Linked DNA regions of Pelodiscus sinensis. The protein of the gene in region 1 binds, or shares a complex with, the protein of each later gene. Links are inferred from orthologs where the notes say so. Each region holds a gene or a part of one and is shown in the gene's direction. Other genes may lie near its edges.

What was found. The genes of interacting proteins can lie anywhere in the genome.
Region 2: the proteins of BMP2 (region 1) and RGMA are in contact, whole or in part, in a crystal structure (PDB 4UHY), measured with the Homo sapiens proteins. The link is inferred for Pelodiscus sinensis from reciprocal best matches to the Homo sapiens genes BMP2 and RGMA. Residues at the interface, in NP_001191.1 of Homo sapiens: Val308, Gly309, Trp310, Asp312, Trp313, Met371, Tyr373, Leu374, Asp375, Glu376, Lys383, Tyr385, Met388; in NP_064596.2 of Homo sapiens: Arg91, Arg94, Gly95, Leu97, His100, Ser101, His104.

The regions. Positions count from the first base shown.
Region 1 is NC_134713.1:192,410,192-192,418,018, reverse strand, and holds the start of BMP2 (bone morphogenetic protein 2), read left to right. Parts: upstream 1-4,823; 5' UTR 4,824-5,491; intron 5,492-6,224; 5' UTR 6,225-6,231; coding exon 6,232-6,562; intron 6,563-7,827. UniProt on the Homo sapiens protein: Growth factor of the TGF-beta superfamily that plays essential roles in many developmental processes, including cardiogenesis, neurogenesis, and osteogenesis. Induces cartilage and bone formation.
Region 2 is NC_134724.1:12,368,234-12,375,828, forward strand, and holds the start of RGMA (repulsive guidance molecule A), read left to right. Parts: upstream 1-4,591; 5' UTR 4,592-4,830; coding exon 4,831-4,844; intron 4,845-7,595.

The DNA.
Region 1 (7,827 bases):
GCAAGGTGAGCGAGGCAGTTGCCTTGGGCCCTGCACATTCAGAGTCCCCGCGCATTCAGGGCCCTGTGCTGACCAGCTCCCGGCCCTGCCCACCAAGACGCTCACTGGCTGCCCTGACTAGGAGCTGCGCAGCCGTGCAGCTCAGCCAAACACAGCCTGCTGCCTTGGGTCCCGTGAACTCTTTGGCTGGGCCTGCCGTTGTATTGATTGCAACTTCCGCTGGGCCCCTCATCTTTTCCTTTCCTGGTTCCTGGGGCTCCCATGCAGTGATCCATCCCTGCTCAAGGAAACTCGTAAGCACGGGCCTAATTTTAGGCAAGTGTGAAAGTCCCATTGATTTCCGATTCCCACTCCGATGTAGAAGTCATGTGATGGCATAAGGGGGACTAAGTAGTCAGGGCTAGATTTCATGTGGGAGCAATTGGGGGGGGGTAATAAGGAACTTCCCCTTCCACAGAACAAACAACTAGCAAGAGAGAGTCCCTGCTCCAAAGTCCCTTCAGGATCTGAAACAAAATACAGGACGATGTAGCACTTTAAAGACTAACAAGATGGTTTATAAGGTGATGAGCTTTCGTGGGCCAGACCCACTTCCTCAGATCAAATAGTGGAAGCAAATTGTCACAACCATATATACCAAAGGATACAATTAAAAAAAATGAACACATATGAAAAGGACAAATCACATTTCAGAACAGAAGAGGAATGGGGCAGGGGAGGGGAGGAGGTAAATGTCTAACCATCTTGTTAGTCTTTAAAGTGCTACATAGTCCTGTATTTTGTTTCAGCTACACCAGACTAACACGGCTACATTTCTATCACTATTCTTCAGGATCTGGGCTTTCCATTCTGAACATAAAAGAGGCAAAGGATGGAAGGGGAAACCTCTCTTCATTTACTCCAAAATATCCAAGGCTTTTATGGCCTTAACATCAGAAGGATCCGTGGGCCTATTTATATTTACAATCAGAATGGCAGCAAACCTCTTGATGTTAAATCAGATCAGAATTTATCCAGGCCTTTGGAAGAAATGTAGACGCATTTCTCCCTCAGACGGTTCCTCATCCTACTATAGTCACCATAGGTAGCATCCAGTACAACCCATGCTCCAGGCATAGAGATGAAATATTAAGGCAAGAAATGGCTTTTCCCTGGTGTGGTCCACTGCAGAATGAACTGGAAGGGCAATTAGCCACCAAAGTGCTCATTTAATGTCAGTGATGTGTAAACTCTATTGCCATTGTTAGTTTAGTGCTGATTTACACAACTGGAGTGCCCTGACGTCACACTGCTTGCACCTTAAATTCAGGCTAACGAGCTCCAGGAAGTCATAAAATTGAACCTGATCTGGGAGTTCCTAAGCTATCACCCTTTCTAAGGCTTGAATTTCAGCTTGGGCTATCACTCTTCTCCATAGGTGCAGGGTTTTGCACCTGGCTTCTCCATGCCCAGGGGCCGGCCCTGCTTCCCACCCACTGCCGGTTCTGCCACCCCCAGGGTCCCTCCCACCTGGCATCCCCGTGGGTTCTGCAGCTTGCCATTTCTGTGGTCCAGGCCACTGGCCCCAGAAAATCTGCTGCTGCTCAGCATCCCACTCCCAACCCAGGGCTCCGCAGCCACCTTTAGCTGTGGCTAGGTTGCCAACTCTCCTGGACCGGATACACTGGACACCATTTGTGGTAATAGCACCCAGGCTGTCCGTGAGAGTTGGCAATCCTCGGTGTGACCTCAGGCTGGAAAAGTGAGAGGTGTGAACAGGTGTGTGTGTGTGGGGGGTGCAGCTTAGCACCCCCACCTTAAAAATAGGTCCAGCACCACAGCTCCTCCCCACACCCACATCTCAGATTTGGCTTAAAGCCTTTCCAAAGCAACAAAACTAAAACAAAATAGGTCATTCTTTTGCCAGGGTAAGGGTGTCTCCGTGGGGAATTGCACCAGTGCGACGTCATTGAAATGATCACCTTAGATTATAGAGATGCAACTTTTCTACTAAACTGCAAAAAGAGCCAATCAAAATGGTGGAAATGACCAGGGAACTGTCTCCTGTTGCTTTAAATTCTCCACATGTTGCTTTACTCTGTCAGTACCATCAGCCCTTTGAAAAGGCCTTGCACCCCAGTGTGGTGCTCTGAGGAAGGAAAGTGACCAGGGATTCCAGGCCGTTCAAGTGAGAATCTGTGCTAGGATCTGGACAATTGATTCTTTGTGTCATCGTTTCTATTGCATTAGTGTCTACAGGCATCAACTCTGACCAGGGCCCTATGGTGCAAGGCACTGTATATATATAAAAAAAGGGACTGCAAGAAGGACAAAGAATGAGGGAAAGAAAGTTTTAATATCCCTATTCCACAGGGACCCGTGATGCAGAGGGATTAAGGCCCAGAAGATAGGAGCCTAAATTCTAGCCCACTGTCACACGAGGAGTTTGGGGCAGATACGGAAACTGAAGCCAGTGAGTTAACCATCTTCTTTCTGTTCATCCGAGACACATCACCCTTCCTGAATCCATCCACCTTGGCATCAGAGCCTGCTCCTTCATCCCTCTCATGCTCTAAACTCATCTCCGAAGAAAAGCTTCGGCAACCTGGAGGAGCTGAGGCTGCCAACTGCCACATCGAAGGCTTTGACACTGTCACACTCCAACACCTGCGATAGCATGGACTGGTGCCGGTCGCGAAGATGGGCAGGTAAGCTGCTAAGCCTACAGACTGGTGCCCTGCTTCTGCTGAGTGGGACACAGAAGAGAATTCAATGGTAAAGCCAGCCCCAAAAAGGGGTTTCAAATGGGGATTTGCACATCCAGAGAGCTCTGACACATTTCCACCACTGGAGGGCAGCCATATCTTAAAAACATCCAGGGACTCAGCAAAGCAGCGCTGAACTCCCAAGGAGGAGGGGGCTGAACCTAGAAAGTCAAATGCATTTAAAATGATGCTTCCCCAAGGATAAAAGGCATTTTCTCAGGAATCTGACACGTTTCTTTCAATTGGGGCAGCCCATGATGATTTCCAGCTCCCCATGCTACTTTTGGGCTGTGACATGGAAGGTGTGAGTGGCAAATGTTATAGCAGGGAGCTTCACATCCCTTCTGCCACTGCTTATCAAACTGGATGCTGGAGTTTAACAAAGAGGGGGTTATGTCACCCTGCGTCCCAAATCTCTGCTCATGCCTAAAGACGCAGTGTCATAAAAGTGGCCTTTCACACAGTGTCCTTTGAAGGAATAAAATAGTCAAGGTGCTTTTGGGAGAAAGAACAGATTTCTGGGGATGCTCCCCCTGCAAAAAAGAGCCACAATGAACTTGATAGAACCATATATGAGCTTAAAAGAACCCATATATTCTTGATTGTAAAGTCATGCCTCTGAGATCTTTTGAATATGAAAGGTTGTGTGGCTGAGAGATACCACAAGCAAGAGATATTAAGCTCCTTCATTTCTGGGGTGCAGATGGGTACTCAACCTAGTTTTTCTTGGTGGCGTGATAACAGCATTTAGTTTTCCTCTCCAAGAACTAAACACACCCACTGGAATCGAAACAGGTTTTTGTTTGTTTGTTTGTTTTTAAAAGAGAGAAATGAGTTTTTTGTGATCTGTGCAAAATTCAAACAATAGTTGAGGTTTGCTCTAGATTTGCCCAGGGCTATTATATTGCGTTGACCGTCCTAACGTTAGACAGAGTACACTTAGACACTGCAGGTTTAGATTAACCATTCTGTTGCTTTGTATAAGTCTTTGATCCATATCAGCTGCAATGGGCCTAAAACTATTTACACCCAGGACCTGGGTGTAATGTTGATGTCATTAATTGCAAATGCTTTGTGTGCCTCTGCTGAAAATCAGGTGTGTGGGGATTTTTAAAACTTTTTTTTCTACTGGCCTAGATTATTTGAAAACACTCCAATTCTTCCAAAACCTGCTTTGACCTTCACACCTTAGAAGTCAGCAAACACTGAAATCCCACAGCACGAAACTAATCCGATTTGTATAAGCAGCGCACGAGACTTATTTCACTCTTCTTTTACTGAGGGGTCATTGTTCAGTATCCATCTCTGACTTTCCTCTGCGTTTCCACGTGTAGGCGCAGACTCCAGCTAAAAAGTTCCTAAGTCCACAGTTTTAGCCCATGCCTGGTTTGATCCCAGGTCTCGTATTGTCTAAGGACGGCGAGACGACAAAAGTCCCAACAGGGCTCTAGCTCTTACGCCTCGGAAGAACCACAACAATCCTCGGGACTAGATTTTCTTATTACACGTGAAGCTAACACTAACAGCTACCGGCTGCCAGCCTGCTCCAACTGCTCCTGGAGCTTCCCCTCGTTGGCTCCTGATTTGCAAAAACCACGCTGCACATTGCATGTCGCCCATGGGCCTGACTAGCTCCCGTCCAGCCTGGCACGGCCCCAGGAGAGGCGATAGGAGACCGCGACAGGGGGACATGTCGATGGGAGGAGAAGCAGGTGGAGGGGGAAACCATGGATCATTCTTTTCCAGTGTGGGAACTGGGGACACCCCCCCTGGCCAAATTCACTACCCGGCTCCTGGATCGTCGCAGGTGATGGGAGTTGCCTGGGACACAGTCAACCTTCTGCCTCGGAGGGAAGGCACGTGGAGGGAGATGCGAGTGGCGCTGCTGTCCCTGCTTCCTCCCAGAGGTTCGGCCATCAAGCGAGGCGAGGGGGGAAGCAGGAGCCGCGCACACACTCCTCCGCGGCGGCGGCGTCGCCTTTAAAAGCAGCGAGCGCGGCTCGCGGCCGCTCTCCCGGCGGCGCGCTCGCTGATTGGCCAGGCGCCTCCAGCCCCCGGGGCCGTGACATCAGCAGCGCCACAAAAAGCCAAGGAGGCTTCCAAGGACCTCGAGCAAGTGGCACCAGAAGCGCGCGGGCCGGGCACCCCGCGGGAGGACGCAGCGGCCGGAGAAGGCAGCCCCCCCCCCTCCTCCCCCGTTGCAAAGCGCCTGCTGCTGCCGGGGCCGCAGGGAAGGAAGAGCCCGGGCGCTGCGGGACTAGCCTGGCTGCGGATGCTCGGGGCGTGTTTTTTCCACGGAGCGGCATAGAGCGCGCGCCCCCGCGCGGCGTGGCGAGGCCTCTCCCCCCAGGGATGTCTCCGCGGCGGGCGGCCGCCGCCGTCCGGGGAGCCGCGGCGGAGTGACAGCCCGGGAGGGATGCCGCAGCCAGGCGCCGCCCAGCGAGCCCCCCCTGCAAGGCACCGAGCCCCGGCGGGTCGCGGCCGGCCGGGTCCGCGCGGCATGAGTCCCCGGAGAAGCCATGGGCTGCGGCGGCGGGGCTAGAGCGCAGCCCGGGATCCGCGCAGCCGAGGGACTTGCCCTCTCGCTACTGAGCCTCGCCCGGAGAAGTAACTTCCCGAGCCCCGCACGCACCGGATACAAGCCCCCGCCCGGCTGGGCACCCCCTGGCTCTGCCCACTTCTATGTGGAGCCCGCGTCCATGGCCGGCCCCCAGCGCGCTGCTTAGGCGCTCGGCGGGCTCCTAAAGGTAAGAGCGCAGGGCGGCCGGGCGCACCTGTCCCGCGCCTCCCCTCCCCACGCGCCGTTCACACGGGCGGCTTCCTCCACTCCGCTTCGAACGCCGCGCGCATGGAACCTGTTCTGCGTGTGAACGCGCCACGGGATCCGCCCGGGGAGCGCGGGGAACCTCTTTCTAGAGGTGCGGTGCTGGCCGTCCTGGGAGCCCCCACCTCCTTTGTCTTGCACCCCCCCAACCACCCTAGGTGCTGGAAGTAGGGGTGCAGAGGGGTACTGCGGCACCCTGGCTTGGAGTGGCTGCCATTCTAGACGGGCTGTCCAGGTGGGTTCAACCGCCCCCAGCAAAAACTGCCCCAGCACCTCTGCCAGACACCCCCTGAAGCCAGCCAACACCTGGACAGCTGGGCATGGCACTCGGCTCCTACCTGGCCATGGAGCTGGCCAGCCCGGCTCCTGGCCGCTGACAAGCGGCCGTATCTCTGGCCACGCTATGGTCCGCTGCGGGCTAGGCTCTTCTGTGCAAGGGGGCTTTGGATCAGGCGTGCAATCCGGAGTCACTACGGGGGGAAGCGGCTCCAGGTGCAACAGAGCACGGGGTACAGCGGCTCGCTGCCAGATGAGGTTCCACGCCCCCTAGCCTCCCTCGGGGGGGGGGGGGGGAGCCGGATCGGGCCCCCCCCCCGCTCGGGATCGGGCCCCCGGGACGGGCTTGCCCTGATTTCCCACCCTCCCTGTCTGCGCAGGTTGACCATGGTGGCCGCCACCCGCTCCTTGCTGGCGCTGCTGCTCTACCAGGTGCTGCTGGGCGGCTCGGCCGGCCTCATCCCGGAGGTGGGCCGGCGGCGCTTCAGCGACTCGGGCCGCGCCGCCCCGCCGCCCTCGGAGGACCTGCTGAGCGAGTTCGAGCTGCGCCTGCTCAACATGTTCGGGCTGAAGCGGCGGCCGAGCCCCAGCAAGAGCGCCGTCATCCCGCCCTACATGCTGGACCTCTACCGCCTGCACGCGGGCCAGGCCGCCCTGGGCTCCCCGCTGGAGAGAGCCGCCAGCCGCGCCAACACGGTCCGCAGCTTCCACCACGAAGGTACGGCCGGGGGGCTGGCTCTGCGCTGCCCCCTGCAGGCTGCGCCCGCGGCTCTTGGGGAGCTCTCCCGGCGGGGTCCGCTTCCCCAGGAGGGGTCGGAGGATAGGTGGGCACGGGGGGAGTGTGTGAGAGCTGGCGTCGCTTCCTAGGGAGCCTAAGCGTGGGCTCCGTTGTTGTGGAGTAGTGGGTGTATGAACTAGTGTGGGGGCGAGCAGGGTGCGGGTGTGTACCATCAGCACTGGACCCAAAAGGGGGAGGAAGGATAGAAGCGGGGAGGGGGAAATCTTTCCAAATAGTTTGGAAACTTCTGTTTCATTTCTCTTGTGAGTTTCTCTGTCTTGTTTTACAAGCTGGGCATCAAAACAGGCTCCCTCCCCCCCCCCCCCCCCTCGAATGTCCCCAGGCATTTATTCTGAGCATCTCCTCCCTTTCTCTCTCCTCCTCACCTTCTTCATCCCATGTGGCATTTGCCCCTCTTGATTTTTACAGCTTGGGTTCCAATTAAGCATTCCCACCCAGGGCTTTCAAAGATAAAAGCTAAATACCAGAAAAGTCTCCTTAGTTTACAGTTGGTCTGGGTTAGTTTTGGGAAGGTTTCTAATCCCTGGGAGAGATCAATGCAACAATCAGTAGTATTGTTTGCACAATGACTTTCTTGTCTTGGATTTGAATCTAGGGCAGATTTAGTGTAGATCTAAAGGTAAGCCTTCAAAAACCAGGTTGATAAAAGCATTGCCACAGCTGGTCATTGGACTTCATGCGCACCTGAGCCTTCAGATAACATGGTCACCTCTTAATTAAGATGCTGAATGCACTTTAAAAGTAGATTAAAATGGGTACTCACAAGAGCTGGCGTGTCTGTGGCGTAAAGTAAAGCTATTGAGTTGTTCAAACTTTTAGTACCCATCATATTCTAGTTTTAAGTGTGCACATAAATCCATTTGTTGTGAGCTTTCCACGTTCTGTGAGTTTGAATCTAATGAACTACATCAGTACTATAAAGCTGGAACCCTACATATCAGTTAAAATGTAACTAGTTTTGGTAACTGACACATTTTGCTGCCTTTTTCGTGCTTGGTAAATGCATACAGAAATGATGATCTTGACCTTCTGGACATGATTTTTTTTTAAATTTATTTTTGCAGTTAATTGGTTTAGCAGTTATATGTCTAGGGACTAACTTAAATTTGCAGCTACTAACTGGGGTAGCTAATCTGATACAATAGACTTGTAGAGCGAGTAGTTTTCATGTTGCTCATCTGCTT
Region 2 (7,595 bases), on another chromosome or scaffold:
TCCCTGGGTTACGTACAAGATAGGGACTGTAGGTTTGTTCTTAAGTTGAATTTGTATGTAAGTCGGAACTGGTACATATTGTAGGGGAAACTCTAGCCAAACATTTCTCCAGAGCTCAGTTTTATTCTCCCACACCTCACTTCCCTCAGTCCTTTATTCTCAAGCTGAGGTGTCTGCTGAGAAAAGCCACTCCATGTCTCCCTGGTCTGCTGGAGGGGGGGCGCTAGCTTCGCGTCTCCCTGGTCTGCTGGGGGTAAGCAGCTAGTGCGGGTTTGCCTCACCCCGTTTGTAAGTAGGGATCCGATGTAAGTCGGATCCATGTAACCCGGGGACTGCCTGTATATAATGCAATGGATCAGACGCTCCATCCTTCCATTAACTTATGTCACTTCCTCCACAGGGTCCTACCCGGTGACGGGTTTCCAAGAGAAAGTGGCTGCTGAACTGTTTGACAGTCACTGTCATCAGTGCAAAGACATGAATCTTGGACGGTGCCCTCGAAATAGCAAGACTCAAGCTCGTCCGCACTTAGGTATTTCAATGATAGGCACTATAGAAAAGACCAAGGTATGGATCCTGAATTCTTCAGCAGAGGCCCTTCCTAATGAAAACATCTGCTCTCTGAGGGTACGTCTACACGGCAGTGTTATTTCAGAATAACTGACATTGTTTGGAAATAACAAAGTGTGCATCTACACAGCAAACCATTATTTCAAAATAACTTCAAGCTGGAGGACTTCTTACTCCGACTCCTGCAACCTGCATTTCACGAGGCGTAAGGGAAGTTGAAGTAAGAGTGGTTTTCCTTCAACTTCCTGCAGTGTAGACAGCACCTAAAGCCGAAGTAAGCTATTTTAACTTCAGTTACACAATTGACGTAACTGAAGTTGCGTAGCTTAATTCAACTTTTGCCCTGCTGTGTAGACATACCCAGAGATTCTCACACCACAAACTACCAGCTACAACAGACCTGTGTTGATCCCTGCAGATGTGTTTGGGAGTAGTGGGGAGGAAGCATGATTCAGAGACAGGAAGACCCAAGTCCACTAAGCAAAGGACCTTACAGAAGACTTGGACTGTGATTCTAGCCTATGCTATGTCAGTCCTTATACTGCACTTATCAATCTGAGCCTCTTCCAGTAGCGCAGGGGTGGCCAACCTGTGGCTTTTCTGAAGTTCATATGCGGCTCCTTGCTCAGGCACTGACTCTGGGGCTGCAGCAGCTGGTGCCAACTTTCCAGTGCTCAACTCCTGGCTCCACCTCCTCCTCCAAGCATATTGCACCCTCGCTCCTTCCCTTCCCCACAGAGCCTCCTGAGAGCCATGAAACAGCTGATTGCAGTAGGCAGGAGGCGCGGGGAAGGAAGAGGAAGCACTGATTGGTGGGGCTGTTGGTGAGCAAAAGATACTGAAGACGGGAGAGAAGGCACCTGATGGAGACTGCTGACAAATGACTGTAGCTCTTTGGCGATGTACATTGGTAAATGGTGGCACCTTCTCAGGCTCGGACTGGCCACATCTGCAGTAGCGCATTCAGCAGTGTGACTACATATCTGTCACTGGTGTTCCCTGTAAGCTGAGTGCGTGGGCAGACACCCAAGAGCGATTCAGGTGCCACCCAAAGATTAGGAGAGCACCCACGGTATCCACAGCCAGCATGCATTTCTACTGCTGGTGCACATCCACACATACCTTGGTGCACATAGTAAAAGTTATTCCACACATGGATGGAAAAAATTAAGAGAGGCCATTGTCACATGTGGTTTGTTTTCTCATCCTCTCCCCAAGAAGAGATGAATGTGCAGGGAAATGACTTGTTTTGCTATGTTGAGATGTTTTTAATTTACATATATATCTTCCTCTCTATTTATGTTAGAGAAGACAAGGTCAAAGAAATGCACTTCCCACTTGAAGCAGAAGGTGTCAACTCCTCTGGTGATGCCTAAAGTTAATTGTAGATAGGGGTCAATCAGGACTTCTGATGGTTGCCTTAGTTATGTATTTACATGTACCTTTGTAATGGTTTTAAATGATCTGACTGGAACCCACCCTGCCATGTGCACAGCTGGCTTATGGAAATGCATGTTCTCATTTCCACTCCACACCTTTTCTACTTGTTACACTCACTTGTTGTGTCTTGTCTTAAACAAGACTGTAATGTCTTCAGGGCAGGCTCTGTGTTTCGCTGTGTGTCTCTACAGTGCCTAGCACAGCAAGAGTCCCTGTTGGAGGGGCATCGGGACACGATAAAATGATTAGTTATTATTAGAGGGATGCTACAAGTTTTATACTAGGCATCAAACTGTCCCTAGTTCTTTCACACCTGACCCAAGATTAAACTCGTTCTGGTTCAACAGTGTCTGCTTGAGAGATTCATGCTTTAAAAAAGAAGACATCTTTGCTCTACTGCAGCTTTACTGCCAGGATGTTTTTATTTGTTACTAAGTCTAGAGGGGTAGCTGTGTTAGTCTGTAACTTTGAAAAATGAGTGGCACCTTAGAGACTAATAAAATATATAGATGGTATCATGAGCTTTCCTGGACACAACCCACTTCTTTGGTGAATTTGTTACTGTTAATACATGCTTGTTTTCTAATTTGCATTTAATACATGCTGGCTCACATTGTTAAATCCGGGCACTTTTTTTTTTTTTTTTTTGAAGACTTAATCAAGCAGTTGATAGCTGCCATTAGCATTTGTTGCCTTCCACACTGAAAAATACTGTGCAAAGATCTGTTTTAAAAGATTTTTAAGCTTTTGTTTTGGCTTTTTGGGGGGGGAGGGGTTTTTTGTTGTTGTGGTTTTTTGGGGTTTTTTTTTGCAAACATCTGTTACTATCTGCACATTTGCAAAGGCAACTGCATATTTAGCATGTTCACAGCTCTGGGACTGCAGTAATTAATTGCCTGTCTGGCCCACAGAGCTTTGCATTCATTTACTTTCTATTTAAAAAAAAAAGTAAAGGCGGTAATGATATCTAGGGAAATAGTTCCGTGTAGGCTTATTCCAAGCATGCCCAAAGTCCCTCTTTGGTTCTGAATTTGGTGGGCCAGCCTCTCCATAGTATCATAACTTTGATTTCTACATGTTCCAACATCAAATGAGGGATCCAGGTCAGGACTAGAACAGGTTCCTAAACATCTGGGTGTTCCTGTTGTGTGTAATTTCTTCATCACACTGTTCCCATTGAAATCAATGGCAAAATTCTAACTCCATAGGGGACAGCTTTGGTTGCCTAATGAGTTGTGTGACATGTACAATATGTGCAGTTTGAGTTAGGACACAGGCATCCCTCTCCTGCCTGATAAAACTGACAGCAGCAGCTCACAAACTATTTAATCCCAATTTTCCTTACACCTTTCAATGGATTCTCTCCTCTTATTTATTCCCCACTCCTGGGACATAACAGATCTGCCTTGCTATGTCATTTTTATGATTCTATCCTCCAGCACAATGCACTGGGAAGCCGTTTCCCCTTTCTCTCCTGGCTGCACTCCTTCATTTTGTACTGCTCTCTTCTCTTTTCCCAGCTAGGGAAAGGTGAAAAGAGAAAATCCACTTGCCCCAGCATGTTGGGGTTGATTTGCTTTACCCAATACCTTATCTACAATGCATGCATACATTAGCAGCGCTAGACAGTCCTTTCTGTGCTCCCTCCCGCTCTGTGTGTGTTAAGAGAAGTCCATGTAGACGGATTGCAACTAGGTGGTGTGCATGTGCGCGCACACACTGTGGCCGTGTCCAGACTCAGGGGTTTTTTCGGGAAAAGTAGCCTTTTCCCGAAAAAACTTCCCCTGCGTCCAGACTCAAGCCGCGTTCTTTCGAAATTATTTCGAAAGAACGCGGCTTTTCTTTCGATGGCGGTAAACCTCAATTTACGAGGAAGAACGCCTTCTTTCGAAAGTCCCTCTTTCGAAAGAAGGCGTTCTTCAATGTAAAGAGGCCGTCTTCGAAAGAGAGCATCCAGACTCGCTGGGTGCTCTCTTTCGAAAAAGCGGATTTCTCTTTCGAAAGATCCGCCGGCAGTCTAGACGCGATCTTTTGAAAGAGGCTCTTTCGAAAGAAGCCTGCAGTCTAGACATAGCCTGTGTGTATGTTATCTGATTCGAATTCCCCCACGCCCTGGAAATAGCCATTTCCAAATCTCTTTCCCCCCCCCTGTCAGACGGTTCAGCTGCAGGTGGACAGTCCTAACTCTTGCAGGGCAGGACTGGAAAGCGGCCAAGTCTAAACCCGCCAGGAATGAACCCTGGGAGGGCAGGGTCTTGTGCGCTCACTGTCCCCGTTCCGCTCGCCTGCACCCTCGCTCCCTGCCCATGGGGGCTGCTGGCTCTTCTGCTGCCCCCAGATACAGCCCCGCTTCTGCTGGGGCGCCCAGCCTCTCCTCTCCCCCCCTCCTCCTCCTCGCCGCGCACCGAGCCGCCTGCTTTCCACACACTCCCCCCCTTCCGCATGCTAACTAACCTCCTCACACCAGCACATGGAGCCCTCGCCGCGACGGGAAGGGAGGGGGGGGGCCGTGCCTGCCTGTCTATCTGCTTCGCTTTATCTCCCCGGCTGAGTGAGCTGCTTGGGAAGCCACTTCCCTTTCTCACCCTGCCCCGGCTCCGCCAGCCTCGCGCAGACATGCCGCTGCAGGGGGAGATGCTGCCCGCCCTGTCCCGCTGCTGAAGAGAGGGGCGAGCTCTTCACCCTACCGGGGGCGCTTTGGGAAGGGAGGGGGGGTTGCCCTTTTGCGGATAATCCCACCCTCTCCCCCCTCCCGGGCCTGGGAGCGTCCGTCTGCCCCTCCCTCCCACTGACACCCCCCCCCGCGGGCTGGAGAGGCTCATGCAGTCGATAAGGTAAGCCCCGGAGCCCGGGGAGGTTGGGGGAAAAGGGGTGGGGGGGGGGAACAAGGCATCAACCCCCGGGGTCTGTTCCCTGCAACCCAGGGTCACCCTGCGTTGAACCGTTGCTTGCTTCCTAACCTGCTTGCAGCTCTTGGGGTTGCACCCTGGACTCTGTTTCCGGCATGCTCCCCCCCCCCCTTCCCTAATTGCTTTTTGATTTGCTTCCTAGCCAGGTGCTCTGCCTGCCTTGGGACCTGTTGAGAATCAGTGGCCTTCCCTTGGGGTCCTCCGTCTAGTTTCTCAACCCGTTTTTAAAAGGCTGGCTCTGGGCTCTTTGCTTCTTCTTCCTTGCATGCTCTATGGATGTAGATAGCTAGATACGAGTCTCCCTCCTCCCCCCTCCCTCCCATTTTTTTTTCTCCGGGTTGCCATCAGACATGAAGCGTCCTTGTGCCAACTTCTTCCGAGCTAAACGAAAAAGTGAATTTAATTGCAAAACATTGATTAAAGAAACCCTGAAACATTTTGGAATGCCCCCCCCCTCCTTCCCGGTGCTTAGCTTGCAACCAGGTCATCGTTACTGCAAACCAGAGAAGGATCAATATGCATAGCCGTGTTCCTATCCCCGACTATAATGCTTTAAAAATACAGCATGTTTCAAGAGCTGGCCAGTGTTTGACAGATGCCCAGGCTAGGCAGATACTGTGGGGATGAGAACCAAGTAAGTACCGAGAGAGAGATGGATAGCTATGTGGGCTAAAGCAACCATTGTAGTCATCTCAGAGGGCTAGATTCTGCTCCCTTTCCTCCTGGTAAGTAATGCCTTACTGGATAAAAAGGCCCACTTGATTTCAGTGGGCAAAAAGGCATTGATCAATGTCAGGATGGCAGAATATGGCCTTGAGTTAGGACATTTTAGAACCGCCAATGAGGTTGCAAAACAGCCTCTTTAAGTGTTGTTTTCATTCTGGGATTCGCATGTTGTCATAGGTCTTCAAGGAAATCATGGTGCGTTTGCAAGACAGGTGCTTTTTGTTGTGGTGGTGGTTCTGAGGCAGTGTGGTGTTGTTTTGATGTGATTCTTGATTGCTGCCTGTTGGAGTAATTGTGTTGCAATTGCTCAGAGGTAGAATCAATTTCCCCAAATTGAGATTTTAATGGGAGCGTGCAGGCTGATGCTATGTCATGTGGCTTAAGGCAGCGCTGGATTGCATTTATTTTATAAATTGGCTATTTTGGCAAACTGTTTAGGGATAACAGCGCCACCTACTGGAAAGAAACGAGCTTCGGGCTCTATTTAACCCTGGGAGAGCGCACATGTGCTGATCCCTGCTAGAAAAATACAGTCTCAATCCAATTTCATTCTCTGTTAGGATGGGGAGTATAACGGGTATGGGAAATTCAGAAGGATAGGTTAATTGGGATTTTTACTAGACTCGTTTTTTGTAATGATTTATCTTCCCTGAAGGTATCCAGGCCATTTAAAAAAATACCTAGTGACATTTACTAGACTGTCCTTGGCCCTTTCCTAAGAAAGTAGAGATGGCATGGTGGGGTGGGTCATATTTCTAGGCATCATCTTCAGGAATCCACACTAAAAGAACCAAGTGGGGAGGGTACGCTGTTTCCATGAGAAATCAGAGGACACTTTAAAGAGGATCTCCTGCAGGCTCCTCCTTGCTCTGGGACACTCTTAAACTCCTGTGTTTGCCAGCCACAGTATATTGGTGATCTAGCCTTCCAAATACTTATTTCCATCCAGCTGTTCCACAGAAAGTCCTGTTACCTTTTAATGACACATCTAGGAGATAAACTTAGACATCCTGTTTGGATGTGGAGAGGAGGGTTAGAAAAATATATTTGCAATATCTAGAGACAAAAGTAGATTTTAGAATATTGCCCAGTTATACTAAATTGATTCTCTCCGTTGTGACAGAAAATCAAAAGGGATTGAAAATTGGGTCTATTTATTTTCTGGCAGTCAGAAGTTAACCAGATTTGCTACTCAGCCCACACGTTTCACCAACAGTCGTGAAACGTTCTTCTAGACATGACCAGCTATTCGCTCAATTGTTTATTAAAGGTTTGCTCAGTTGTGAAGTAGATGCAATAGGAATGTTGTCTGGGATTTACTCAGAGTAGAAGATGGGCATAAAGGCCCAGCTCCCTGCAGAGAACTAAATATACAGAAGAATTCCAGCCAACTTTTTAAACACTTCAGAACAAGGAAAGATTATATTATGCAATATGTGAGATTCAAGCCTAGCCCCACAATATTGTGCAAACAAATTGGGGGGAAGGGAGTTGAATGTCCCCTGTCAAATAAAGGGGTAAGGTAACATTTGATTGGACCAACTCGGTGAAAGAGACAAACTGCTGAATTTACACAGGACTTGTAAACTTCAAAGCTCATCTCTTTCACCAACAGAAGTTAGTCCAATAAAAGATATATCTCGCCCACCTTGTCTCTCTAAAACAGGGAGACCAACACAGCTATAACTACACTGCAAACAACCTGTCAAACATGTTGACATGATAAGCTTTATTCTATTGAGAGTATCCAGGCTCATTTGCTTTCTTTTGTGGGTGGGAATGAAGGATTTTTTCACACATTCCTCCTCCCTGTCTAGCTTGATCACTACTGCATTAGGAACTGACAGCCCATTATACTGGTACAAGTTGTTCTACATGATCATATCATGTAGCTGTCCCTACCAAAATATCTTTACTCTCCTCATGAGGTTTTGAAAAAGCTTAATTGAT